Bombyx mori: one gene and its partner. The protein of the gene in region 2 purifies or fractionates together with the protein of the main gene of each other region. This does not show direct contact. Links are inferred from orthologs where the notes say so. Each region holds a gene or a part of one and is shown on either strand. Other genes may lie near its edges.

Region 1 (5,913 bases), on a different chromosome or scaffold from region 2:
TTGGTTACCAGCACAAACCGCCACATTGTCCACACGGGCTGACATTAGTGAATAATATCGAATTATCAACTCCATCGCCTATATTATATTCATATTGATAAAAATACATGTGTAATGTCACGCTTGGCCGTACATACGTGATTTGAAAATATGCTGAGCTAAACAGTATATAGTTTATCAATTTAACGTTATCTAGATTATTGACCCACAAGTTAAAGTATGTAATATAAATCGCCGTGTTCTATTGTAAATAATATAGTGCATATTATTGATTCTCAGAAATTTGACTGCATGATGTTAATGCGTTTTAGCGGTAGGCAGTGGCTTGGCTCTGCCCCTGGCATTGCTGAAGTCCATGGGCGACGGTAACCACTCACCATCAGGTGGGCCGTATGCTCGTCTGCCTACAAGGGCAATAAAGAAAAACTTTAAATAAATGGGTTCAACGTACAATGGGCATTGTCAGAGTATTTTAATGCTTTTATTAACAGCATTTCGTGATTGTGTACCGGTCTTTATGCATTGCTTGTATTTTATGACATAGAGCCGGTACGGGAGTTTCCACCATATTACTTGTTTCTGCTGCAAAACAATAATGCGCTCAAGGGCAAAAGTTTACATAGAGTTCAATTGAGAAACAGATTAAATTATCTGTAGAATTTGAGTATGATGAATTGCTCTCATTACCTCTCTCTGGCCGAAATCTTGGACCTTATTTTACCTTAACCCTTAAACTTTAAGGGTTAAATCAGACGGCATTTTAATAAAAGCAGTCGCGATCGGGAATCGAATAAAATTAAATCCGATATCAGTCTGGAAATACCAAAATCGGTTCAAATTTGTAGGTACCTAAAACAATTATACGACTAGCATTTTTAGAATTCAAAACAATAAAAGATTCTCATTTATTACTTTAAAGTACAGACTGTCGCTACAATAATGGCGGATATGAATGAAACACGGATATCGAGCAACGATTATTGGATATTTTGAAATCAGACTACCTAGTTAAGATATAAAATGTTATGCGATCCAATAAAAACATAAAACACGTTTGAGGTCTTAAAATGAGAGAAATGAGAAAAAAACGCGTTTATCGCGGATATAAAACAAGCTATAGCAAAAAAAATCTAAGCCTAATGTGATGCCTCGAAAAAAAGATCGATTGTGACTATTTATGACCTTAAATCAGATTGAAAACCATAAACAGTTATATTTAGTTAAGCTTTGTTTTCCACACATTAGGGTACCAACAGATTCATTTCTAGTGTTGCACGACGAAAACTACTGTAAAAATAATGTATCGTTGCTTTCCTGTGTAACTCTTAACAAAATAAATAAATTAATTAAACTAATATTTATATTTTACTTTGAAATGATTCAGTTTGCATTATTTAAAATAGACTAATGCTTACAACGTATGTATGTACGTCTTGCTTTTCAAATTAATCTCTCTTTGTTTGTCTATGATAATGTGTTCCGATACCATTCATAAAACATCAAGCTTTTTGATATGCATTTTTAGTGTTCTAGTACTATCTCATTCTAGCAACAACAATTTTGTCTATTGAAGTAGCACATTTATGCTATTCTAAGCGTTATTTAACTCTGAAACAAGTTAGTCATAAACAAAGCATAGACACATAAATTGACATAAATAGTCCACTTCGAAAATTTTCAAAAAGTTTTCGTTTGAAAGACGTTGAAGGGATAAACGTTAGAGATTGTAAAATAGTAAAACATTTAAAATATTTCCTAAAAAGAACAGAAGTGACTTGAATTAAGGATTACAGTCAAATGTTGAGACATTTATGAATTTAAAACACATAAAAATTATTAAAACACGCATTTTGTAGGAGTAAGAAAAATTGCATGGTGTTGTGATTTTTTTGTTGTGGTCTGCATAAAACCGCCAAAATTCCTTACTACAAGATGGATGATTTCTTAAAGATAGAAAAGATCGGCGAAGGTACTTACGGTGTCGTTTACAAAGGAAAAAACAAAATAACTGGTCAATTTGTAGCCATGAAAAAAATTCGCTTGGAGTCCGAAGACGAAGGCATACCATCCACGGCAATAAGGTAAACGACGTAAAATTGAATGAATTACTTGCACAAAAACAATTATATTAATTAAAAACACATTCTCATGCATTTGAGAACATAACCTATATTAACCAGAACTTCTTGAAAACATTTCAGAGAAATATCTCTACTTAAAGAACTGAACCACCCTAATATTGTCAAGTTGGAGGATGTCCTGATGGAAGAGTCGCGACTTTACTTAATCTTCGAATTCCTCTCTATGGACTTGAAGAAATATATGGACTCCCTTGGTTCTGGAAAGGTAACATAACCATGCCTTAAATTAAATTTTACAACAAACTATGACGCCTGTTTGAAGTGTGTCCACAATCATATAAATTGTAGTACAATGCTTAAAATATAAAAAATTGTTAATTAGGACTAGTTGCATCTTTGGAGTTTTTATTTCTGAAAAAAAAAAACTTTTTTGTTTAAATAAACTGCGAAGGTCTCCTGAGATAATGCGTCAGCAGTTGACCATGGCTGGGATTTGCCTCTAGAATTGCTGATTTCCGCAAGACCTAGATACAACTCACCATCAGGTGGGCCATCTATAAATGCAATAAATAAGTCACACAAGACAAGGCAAAGTAATTCTTAATGTTAAATTTTGTAACAGAGTAAATTTTTGTAAAAATATTGGTTATCATTATTTATTTTCAGTTCATGGACCCATCTGTAGTTAAGAGCTATCTATATCAAATCAACAATGCCATCTTGTACTGTCACCAACGACGGATCCTGCATCGAGATCTCAAACCACAGAACCTACTCATCGACAAGACTGGAATCATTAAAGTGAGAGTATTTTATGGTGATATTAATAATTGCAAAAAGATATTAAAAAGTGCTAAACAGTGAGTCTTGGGACCAGCAAGAACCCTCTCGATAATTCTAGACTACTGACAGCCTTTTTATCGTTTTAAAAAAAGTTGTAAATCAAAACCAGTAACATGAAACTATGGACGCTATATAGACCATGTATATTGGTGTTGATACTGACTGAACAGTGTCAGTGCTATTACTATAGGTCAATGTGAAGGCCTTTTTTTTCTACCTAACCTGATAGCCTTGAGAGGCTATATCAGCGTAACCTTAACTAATAGGTGAGCTCACGGGGCTCAAACCTGATGACGTTGCTAACACGAACCCTAGCAAGAGCCGTGCTTCGCAGAATCTACCACTGGATCAGAAACGCGACCCACTGAGAAGATCCGGCGAGAAACTCAGTGGGCTGTGTCTGAGGGTTAATTTACTCGTCGAGCCCTTCGTCGCAAGCGACGGGTTCGACGAGAACGATGATCGGTGCTTGAGGTACCTAAAAGTACTGTTAGTGGATCGGGAGGATCCGAAATGACGTGTGTGAAGGCCATGTCATAGTATATTTGTTCAAAATATAGTTTTACCAGTTTGAAAAGTCAAACACTGACATTAGACAATGGTCATATAGTTTTATTTTCTTCATAAATACCTAATAAATTTGTGACAGGTTGCAGATTTTGGTCTTGGTCGAGCATTCGGTGTTCCAGTGCGGGTCTACACACATGAAGTTGTCACATTGTGGTACAGGGCTCCTGAGGTCTTACTAGGAAGTCAAAGGTAAAATCTTATCCAAATCAGTCAAAACCAGCCACTACAAACTCCAATATAACTTTTCTATAATGAGTAATCAATACACATTAGTTGTAATTTGGCCCAATAATGAAATGTATTTTAGAAAAAACATTTTGTTTTAAGAGCTTTAGACTTTGTTTTCTAAAAAATGGCAAGTTGCATTGTAAATTCATAGAATAGTGTGGCAATACATTGCCACTAATTGTTTCTTAATACAAAAGAATGGTCAGTGACCGTGTGGAGTTCATTATTTGGTAGATTATTTATTTATTTATTATTTATTTTGTATAATAGTAACTTGTCTTACTTTTAGATACTCTTGTCCAATTGATATATGGTCAGTTGGCTGTATATTCTCTGAGATGTCATCAAAGAAGCCACTGTTTCAAGGAGACTCTGAAATTGATCAACTCTTCCGCATTTTCAGGTGAGTAGGCATTTCGCCATTTTAGTGGTAGGCTTTGGCTATGTATTTCTGAGGTCCATGAGCAACGGTGACCACTTACTGTGATGCTTGTCTGCCTTAGATTTATTAGAGTTAAATCTTAACAACAATAATTGAAAAAAAAAAGTTTTTTATGCTCCCTTCAACAATGGAATGTAACTGGTGCTTAGAATAAAACTCTAGTTTTGGATTAAAACACAGATTGAACACTAACTAAAATATGATGTGGACATTCAAGTTTTGGTTGTTTTTTTTGGGTGTGCAATTACTACAACAACACTTATATAACAGTTAATAAATTTTAAAAAAACCTGTTGTTGGGGTAATTAAATTATAATAATACTATTTCAACTTGATTGAGTGATTTCCTTCCAATAAAAGAATGAATATAATGAAATGTTTGACTTACATTTACAGGGCAGTAAATATGATTATAAATATGTAATTTTGAAGTATGTAGAAAGAAATAGAAGACTAGTTTACATATTGTTAGCCTCTAAAACTTCTGTTTATCCATTCCATTCCCGGATGTACCTCCACTTTCTTGCGACCTTGCTTATACCTGATATTAGCTTAAATAAAACAAACTATATGTGTAAATTCAAATCAATAAAGTGTGAAATTCTGAACAGATAGATTTGCTCCATGCATAATTTCCAATGAAATGGAGATACATGAATGAACTAAACTTCTAATATGGGATTTGTGACTCCCAATTTTTTTTGAGTTAATTTTTCTGACTCATTTTCCAATTTCGTTTATGATCAATGTATATGGTATCTGCTGGAGTACACTTTTTCTTATTAGTAACTATTTAAATCACAAGATCTCTTAATTTATTAACAGAATGCTAAGAACGCCAACAGAAGAGATATGGCCTGGTGTTTCTCTCCTACCAGACTACAAGCCAACCTTCCCGAACTGGAACACGTACAATCTGCACAATCATGTACGTATGAAGCATATTTTATTTTAGATTTTTATATGTCTATTGTTCTTGAGATATTTCCAGATATATGAAAAACTAATTGAATTCTATTACATAATGAGTGACACTACTCCAGCTAGCCAAGATATTCCCTTGGGATTTTAGTGAAAGTTTATTTTAGCAGAACCAGCTGTTAAAAGTTTTGTGTGTGTGTGTGTGTGTGTGTTGTATAATGTTTTTTTAATATATTTATTCTGGACTTTGATGTCCTGTTTCTGTCGTGAAGCACTTATGCGTTCCAGTTTGTAAGATGGGACAGCTCTTATGTGATTTATATTGAAACTTCGACCTCATATCAAAACTATCTTTCTTCACTTTCTTTATCGCTCAGACTTGTGATTGAGCATGTGGCCCACCTATAATAACGGTAACGGAATCTAATAAACAGCATTTATTCATGTCATTAACGACACAAATGCCGCCACCCATCTTGGAACATAAGTTCTGAGTCCCAGTTTTACAGTACAATAGTTGTCTCGTCATTCAAACCAGAATACGTTACTGCTCGTGCGGACTTACAAGACTCCCCAACACCATTTAAGCTATATTATATTATACTAGTTATTATCAATGACGTGACTGAGTTAAATCTTTTCTTCCTACCGTCAATTGTAACGTGCATTTTTTACAGGTACAAAACCTAGACGAAGTGGGCATGGATTTGTTACAAAAGATGTTAGTCTACGATCCGGTTAAAAGAATATCCGCGAAGGACGCGCGACGACACAAGTACTTTAGAGACGTGAAACTACCTCCCGGACTGACAGTGCACGACGCTTACA
Region 2 (6,158 bases):
GGGCATCTTGTGAGCCAGCATGGGGCAGGTACCACCACCATGCATTACAGTTGAAGGGTGGGGCAGCTGTTGTCCTGTTAAAACTAAGACTCTGAACTTATGTCTCAAGGTGAGTGGCAGCATTCACATTGTGATATCTATGGGTTCAAGTAACCACTAAAGACAATCTAGGTTTTGAGTCCATACAGATTACTACAAAAATAAATAAATAAATGTAAAATGCTTAGATGAGAAAAACATTAAGATGCCAAATTAATTAATATATTTTTAGGTCGCTTTAAAAGATAATCAGAACAAGCCAAATGAAATAAAAGAATCAATTAACATCTACATACAAACTAAGAAATGTCAAGACACAAAAAAGACAAAGCTGCCCATGCTAAAGGAAAATAAAGAATTAAGAACATCCAAATCACATCTAAAAGATGGAACTGACTCTTTACGGAAAACAAAACTAGCATTAAAAGACCCAATCGAATCATTAGGAAAGTTAAAACTAGCTGAAACATACCCTGAGAAGGGAATGGGCTTAATAGATAAAGCCAAGGTAGAAAAGCAAGCTGAATTCTTTGAAACTGTGTTTGATATTACACCTCCACTGCCTGAGGATATTGAAGATATTGATGCCGGAGACAACAACAGCCCTTTGCTAATGTCTATGTATATCAAGGACATTTACAAATACTTGACTGAATTGGAAGAGAAATATTCTATTGAGCCTGATCATTTAAAAAAGCAGGTAAACTGTCGTTCTCATATATTTAATACTTTTTTGTAAATTTCTACCTGGTTGGTTTATCATTACGTATGTTGTTTATTATATTTAGAAAAAAAAGAAAAGAAAATTTGAATTGGTACTAGAAATAATTGAAAACTTTTAGACTATAATAATATAGGATTATAATGAATATAGTTAATAATAATATGCGACAGCTGCCTTGAGCATTAATAAAGTTTTGTCATAAAATTTATTTATACAGTCTTATTACTCTCTCTATTAGTAGTAATTTGCTGTAATGTTTCCTTGTGCTTCAATAATCTGGTTGGCACTATTTGTTGCGTTTATATCAGCCTGTCCATTATGGCCATGAAGCAATAATGTGTTCCAGTCTGATTTTGTAATTTAAGACTATAATGGTGGGTAGCTGAGTCTGATCTGAGTTGAATGAACCAATTCTGTTGAACATTAAATGATGTAAGAAGGCTATGTAAGTAAAACTAATGAATGATAAGTATTGTACATATTTTTTAGAGTAAAGTAATCTAAAGTAATTGAAATCTTAGGAACATTGAATGCAACAATAAATTTGAGCCTAAGGCATGCCTTTTTGCAATAGGTTTTGAAACATGTATTTTTTTTATTTCAGACTGTTATAACTGGCAAAATGAGAGCAACACTCATTGATTGGCTTGTGGAAGTTCAACGCCAATTCTCATTAGTATTGGAGACATTCCATCTCACTGTTGGCATTATTGACAGATATTTGCAGGTATAGTGATCTAAGTAGTATGTGCAGCATAAAAGCAAACCATCTGGTTTAATGGGGGGAATACTTGTTTTCCTATGACTATTCTGTGGGAATTGAAATACCATATCATCCTTAAGACTAAATTCAGTCTTAAATGTATTACCTGCTGGCTCTACTCTTCAAGTCAGAATATGTGATTACAACAGAACTACTGTCCCATAGTATTGATCTTTGTTAGCTCAGAATAGCCATTATCACCAGATAGATTGAATATTAGGATTAAAGGGTGAGAAGTTAAGAAACTTGAGTTTTTTATTATTATTGCTTATCTGGGTGGGCAAGCTCACAGCCCACCGGGTGTTAACTGGTTACCGGAGCCCATAGACATCTACAACGTATATGCACCACCCACCTTGAGGTATAAGTTCTAAGGTCTCAGTATAGTTACTACAGCTGCCCCATCCTTCAAATCAAACCCATTACTGCTTCAGGCGGAAATAGGCAAGATGGTGGTACCAACCCGTGCAGATTTACAAAAGGTCCTACCACCAGTAATTACGCAAAATATAATCTTGCGGGTTTGATTTTTATTATAAGATGTTATTCCTTCACCGTGGAAGTCAATCATGAACATTGGTTAAGTACGTGTTTCATTAGAAAAATTGGTTCCCACCTACGGAATTCGAACATCGTTGCATCGTTAGATACGATGCACCGGACGTCTTATTCTTTAGGCCACGAGGACTTCAAAAGAGTATTATTATCATGTAAGTAACAAAAAATGACCAAATATTAAACATTACTGCTTTGTACAGGTTGTTCCAAATGTCCAGCGCAATCAATTACAATTAGTCGGTGTGACGGCTATGTTCATAGCAAGCAAGTATGAAGAGATCTACGCTCCAGATGTTGGCGATTTTGTTTATGTCACTGATAATGCCTACACCAAGTCTGATGTATTCCGCTGTGAGAGAGACATTATGTGCAAACTGGGCTTCTGTCTTGCGAGACCGATACCTTTGAGTTTTCTTAGAAGGTATTGTGATTGTCTTTTTTTTATTTCTATATTGATGTATTGAGCATCTTATAATATGAAAACGAATTCCATCCTTCTCCTGATTTAGGCAACTTTGTCCTAATTGAATAGTAGAACCTTTGGACTAAGTGCATTGAAGAATTGGTGGTAGCAGTGGTAGGTTGCAGATGGTAGTAGAAAACAAACAATAAATCTGAAATATGTAATTTAAAACTTTTTTTTAACAGAATTAATTTGTTTGGAAAAATAGTGGTATAATCGTAATGTTACGTTAAGTCATCATAAAGAGAAAAGACGTCGGGTGCATTCTCATAAAGCAATGAAACTATGCCATTGTTACGAATCTGTAGGCAGGTGTCAATTAAGGCAAATCAAGTAAATACGTACTTAACACAGGCTCCTATGTGCGCAAACGATTTTTACAATAGCGTCCACTTCGATTAAGAGGCACGACACGAGAACCCTCTCACCGTGGCCGCCGGTAACTACATTCCCGATCCTGCGGAAAGAATGGAAAGCAGTCGACGTCGCCCAAAACACGTCATTTCGGATCCTCCCGATCCACTAACGGTGCTTTTAGGTACTTTAAGCATCGGTCACCGTTCTCGTCGAACCCGTCGCTTGCGACGAAGGGCTCGACGAGTAAATTAACCCTCAGACACAGCCCACTGAGTTTCTCGCCGGATCTTCTCAGGGTCGCGTTTCCGATCCGGTGGTAGATTCTGCGAAGCACGGCTCTTGCTAGGGTTCGTGTTAGCAACTTCGTCAGGTTTGAGCCCCGTGAGCTCTCACCTACTAGTTAAGGTTCCGCTGGAATGGCCTCTCAAGGCTACCAGCTTAAGTAGGAAAAAAAATAAAACAATTCGTTCCAGTTTGAATCATGGGTGTGCTTTTAATAGTGCCTTTGAGACTTCAACCTCTTGTTTTAGTCGGAATCATGGTGTTCTATGGGCTCTGGTAACTAACTACCTAATACTAAGTGAATAATGGGTTCGTTTATACCTAAAAACAAATTTCTTTATACATAAATTAAGACTTTAACACCACTTCAGGAAAGGACCTCATGATATATCAATTTTTCAAAATTTTAAATTGTTAGGTCCACTTGCATAAAATTTTTATTTTCTGCAAGACAGTCATCGTATTATTTGAAATGTAAGTAATGCAGTCAAAAACTTGTTTATATATGAGGCCGTCAGCGCAAAAGTGGCCTAAGCTTACCATAGTTAGTATGGAGAAAATGAAGTTCGAATTTACCTTTACAATACTCCGTAGGCAAAAAAAATATGCGCTAAAATGATGTTTCCAAAAGGCATCTATGGATGAAACTAAGGATAAGCCGATTTTGCATCAAAATTTATTATGTTTTAAATAAATTGCAATACATAAGCACGAATATGAATTATGGGTTAGGCCACTTTTGCGCTGACGTGTTATTGATAATTTTTATGTTATTCTAGATTTGTAAAAGCCGCACGTGGTACATCGAGGAATCATCATTTGGCCAAATACTTTGTTGATCTCTGTCTAGTCGAATATACTATGGCCCATTATCGACCGTCAGAACTAGCAGCGGCAGCAATCTGCCTCTCACTTCATTTGCTATCGAGCAAGACACTCTCCGAAGTATGGACGTCTACCTTGTCTTACTACTCTGGGTACGATCTTGACCACATAGATCCGATTATAAGGAAAATCGCAAAGATTGTTATTAACATTGAAAATTCCAAATATAAAGCCGTATATAACAAATATTTGGACACGACGTTGGCTAAAGTTTCCAGTCTTCCGCAGTTGAAAAGCGAAGCGATTTATGAACTCGCAAAGATATCAAGCCCAAGCCCTTAGATTAAATTCAATTACCAAAATATGTAGGAATATAGAAATAATATGGACATGTGTGTACTTTTCTGATTTGTAATGTTAATTTAATGGACTGAGTTTTATATTAAGCTTGTTTTAAGGTACCTGCTTTGTTTATGTTTTAAATTTAGATATAATTTAGTTTTTAGATAAAATATATGATGACTGTGAGTGCTGATAGAATTGTATTGACATGGATATTATTTGTATTTATGTATTTATATCTGAAAGTGGACTACATTTTACATAACTTGAACCTTTTGTTATTTATATTATAAAAAAAATCACTTCAGGTTTTTAGTAGTTTCTTTATTTGTATAGTGTTTTCATTATGGTAAAGATTTTTGTCCGAGAGGATGATTTTAAATTACGACTTGTATACAAACTAGACATGACGTCGACTTATTCACTATATTGAATATTCTGATCAATATTCACATGCTGCATGCTTCTTAATATTTTCAAAATTAATATAGTTTCTAGAGATTGGGTTGTATGATTTAACTATTTCCTTAACTGTTTTTGTTCTTTTGTTTTTCTTAACGAAAATGAGGTAAAAACGTGACTCGCTGCCCGCGTATTTTAAGACATGAATCGAACAATGTGTTGGGTGGTATTTTGATATAATATTGAAAGTGTTCTTGTGTTTAAATATGATATTTTAGAATGTAATTTTTAGACCTGTGATTAGATTTAACGGTGTCGTTTGTTGATAAATAAAAAAATGATGTACAAATAAACTGTTTTATTGCGACTAGTTTGTTAATTAAAAACCTATGAACGCTACGGGGACATGAGAACCCTCTCATCGTAGCCGCTGGAAACTACATACCCTACCCAGTAGACCGAATGGTAAACCGTCGACGTCGCCCAAAGCACGTCATTACGGATCCTCCTGATCCATTAACGGTGCTTTTAGGCACTACATGCACCGGTCACCATCCTCATCGAACTCGTCGCTTGCGACGAAGGGCTCGACGAGCGAACTAACCCATAGACACAGCCCACTGAGTTTCTCGTCGGATCTTCTCAGTGGGTCGTGTTTCCGATTCGGTGGTAGATTCTGCGAAGCACTGCTCTTGCTAGGGTCAGTGCATAGATTATACACTTAAGGTCAGTGTTAGCAACTCTCCGGTTGAGCCCCGTGAGCTCACCTACAAACGTTAGGGTGAAGCTAAAATAGCCTCTCAAGGCTATCAGCATAGGTAGGAAAAAAAAAATTAACGCTACGCTATTTAATTAATAGTACCTACCTATTTGCTGCATTAACAGAACTTCTGGTAGATTAAATTGGAATGTGCAAAGTAAATTATTTCATACTACCGACCCGCCCGCGCTTTGTTTCGGGAACTGTAATTTATTATTGATCTTATTGAATTTTCTATTATTCATCTTTCGTGATATCGCGCACTCGGTTGTTTATACTCATTATTTTTATTTATTTTTTTATATTAGAGAATTCGTTACTGGTAGTTCAGTAGAGTAGAGTTACTGGTGGCCCGGAGGCCTTTCCAGTTTTACCAGGACAGGTGGGCGAGCAGAGGCTCAGTCAGGAGGGGTGGGGTTTGTTAACAGCTGCTCGAGCGCCTCGAAACGAGACCTAACTCCTCAAAGAGTAGCTGTTTCGCGAATGAGTCTACTACCGGATCGGAATCGCGACCCGCTGAGAAGATCCGGCGAGAAACTCAGCGGGCTGATGCTTAGGTTAGGTTGGCCGAGTTCGAGGACCACGGTTACCGGGGTCCCTACTCCTAGTGTTAAAGCTAATGCAAGGGTTATTGGAACTGATG

The links.
Region 1: the proteins of cyclin B homolog (region 2) and Cdc2 purify together in Drosophila melanogaster (affinity purification with western blotting; 8 studies listed by BioGRID, with this or other methods). This does not show direct contact. The link is inferred for Bombyx mori from reciprocal best matches to the Drosophila melanogaster genes CycB and Cdk1.

Annotation. Positions count from the first base shown.
Region 1 is NC_085122.1:10,046,046-10,051,958, reverse strand, and holds the start of Cdc2 (cell division cycle 2), read left to right. Parts: upstream 1-1,921; 5' UTR 1,922-1,932; coding exon 1,933-2,081; intron 2,082-2,201; coding exon 2,202-2,346; intron 2,347-2,747; coding exon 2,748-2,882; intron 2,883-3,573; coding exon 3,574-3,683; intron 3,684-4,011; coding exon 4,012-4,125; intron 4,126-4,989; coding exon 4,990-5,092; intron 5,093-5,762; coding exon 5,763-5,913. Other genes in the region: uncharacterized protein LOC110385314, read right to left, coding at 1-26. UniProt on the Drosophila melanogaster protein: Plays a key role in the control of the eukaryotic cell cycle. Required for entry into S-phase and mitosis.
Region 2 is NC_085111.1:8,674,461-8,680,618, reverse strand, and holds the end of cyclin B homolog, read left to right. Parts: intron 1-271; coding exon 272-739; intron 740-1,367; coding exon 1,368-1,490; intron 1,491-2,284; coding exon 2,285-2,505; intron 2,506-3,965; coding exon 3,966-4,353; 3' UTR 4,354-5,101; downstream 5,102-6,158. UniProt on the Drosophila melanogaster protein: Essential for the control of the cell cycle at the G2/M (mitosis) transition.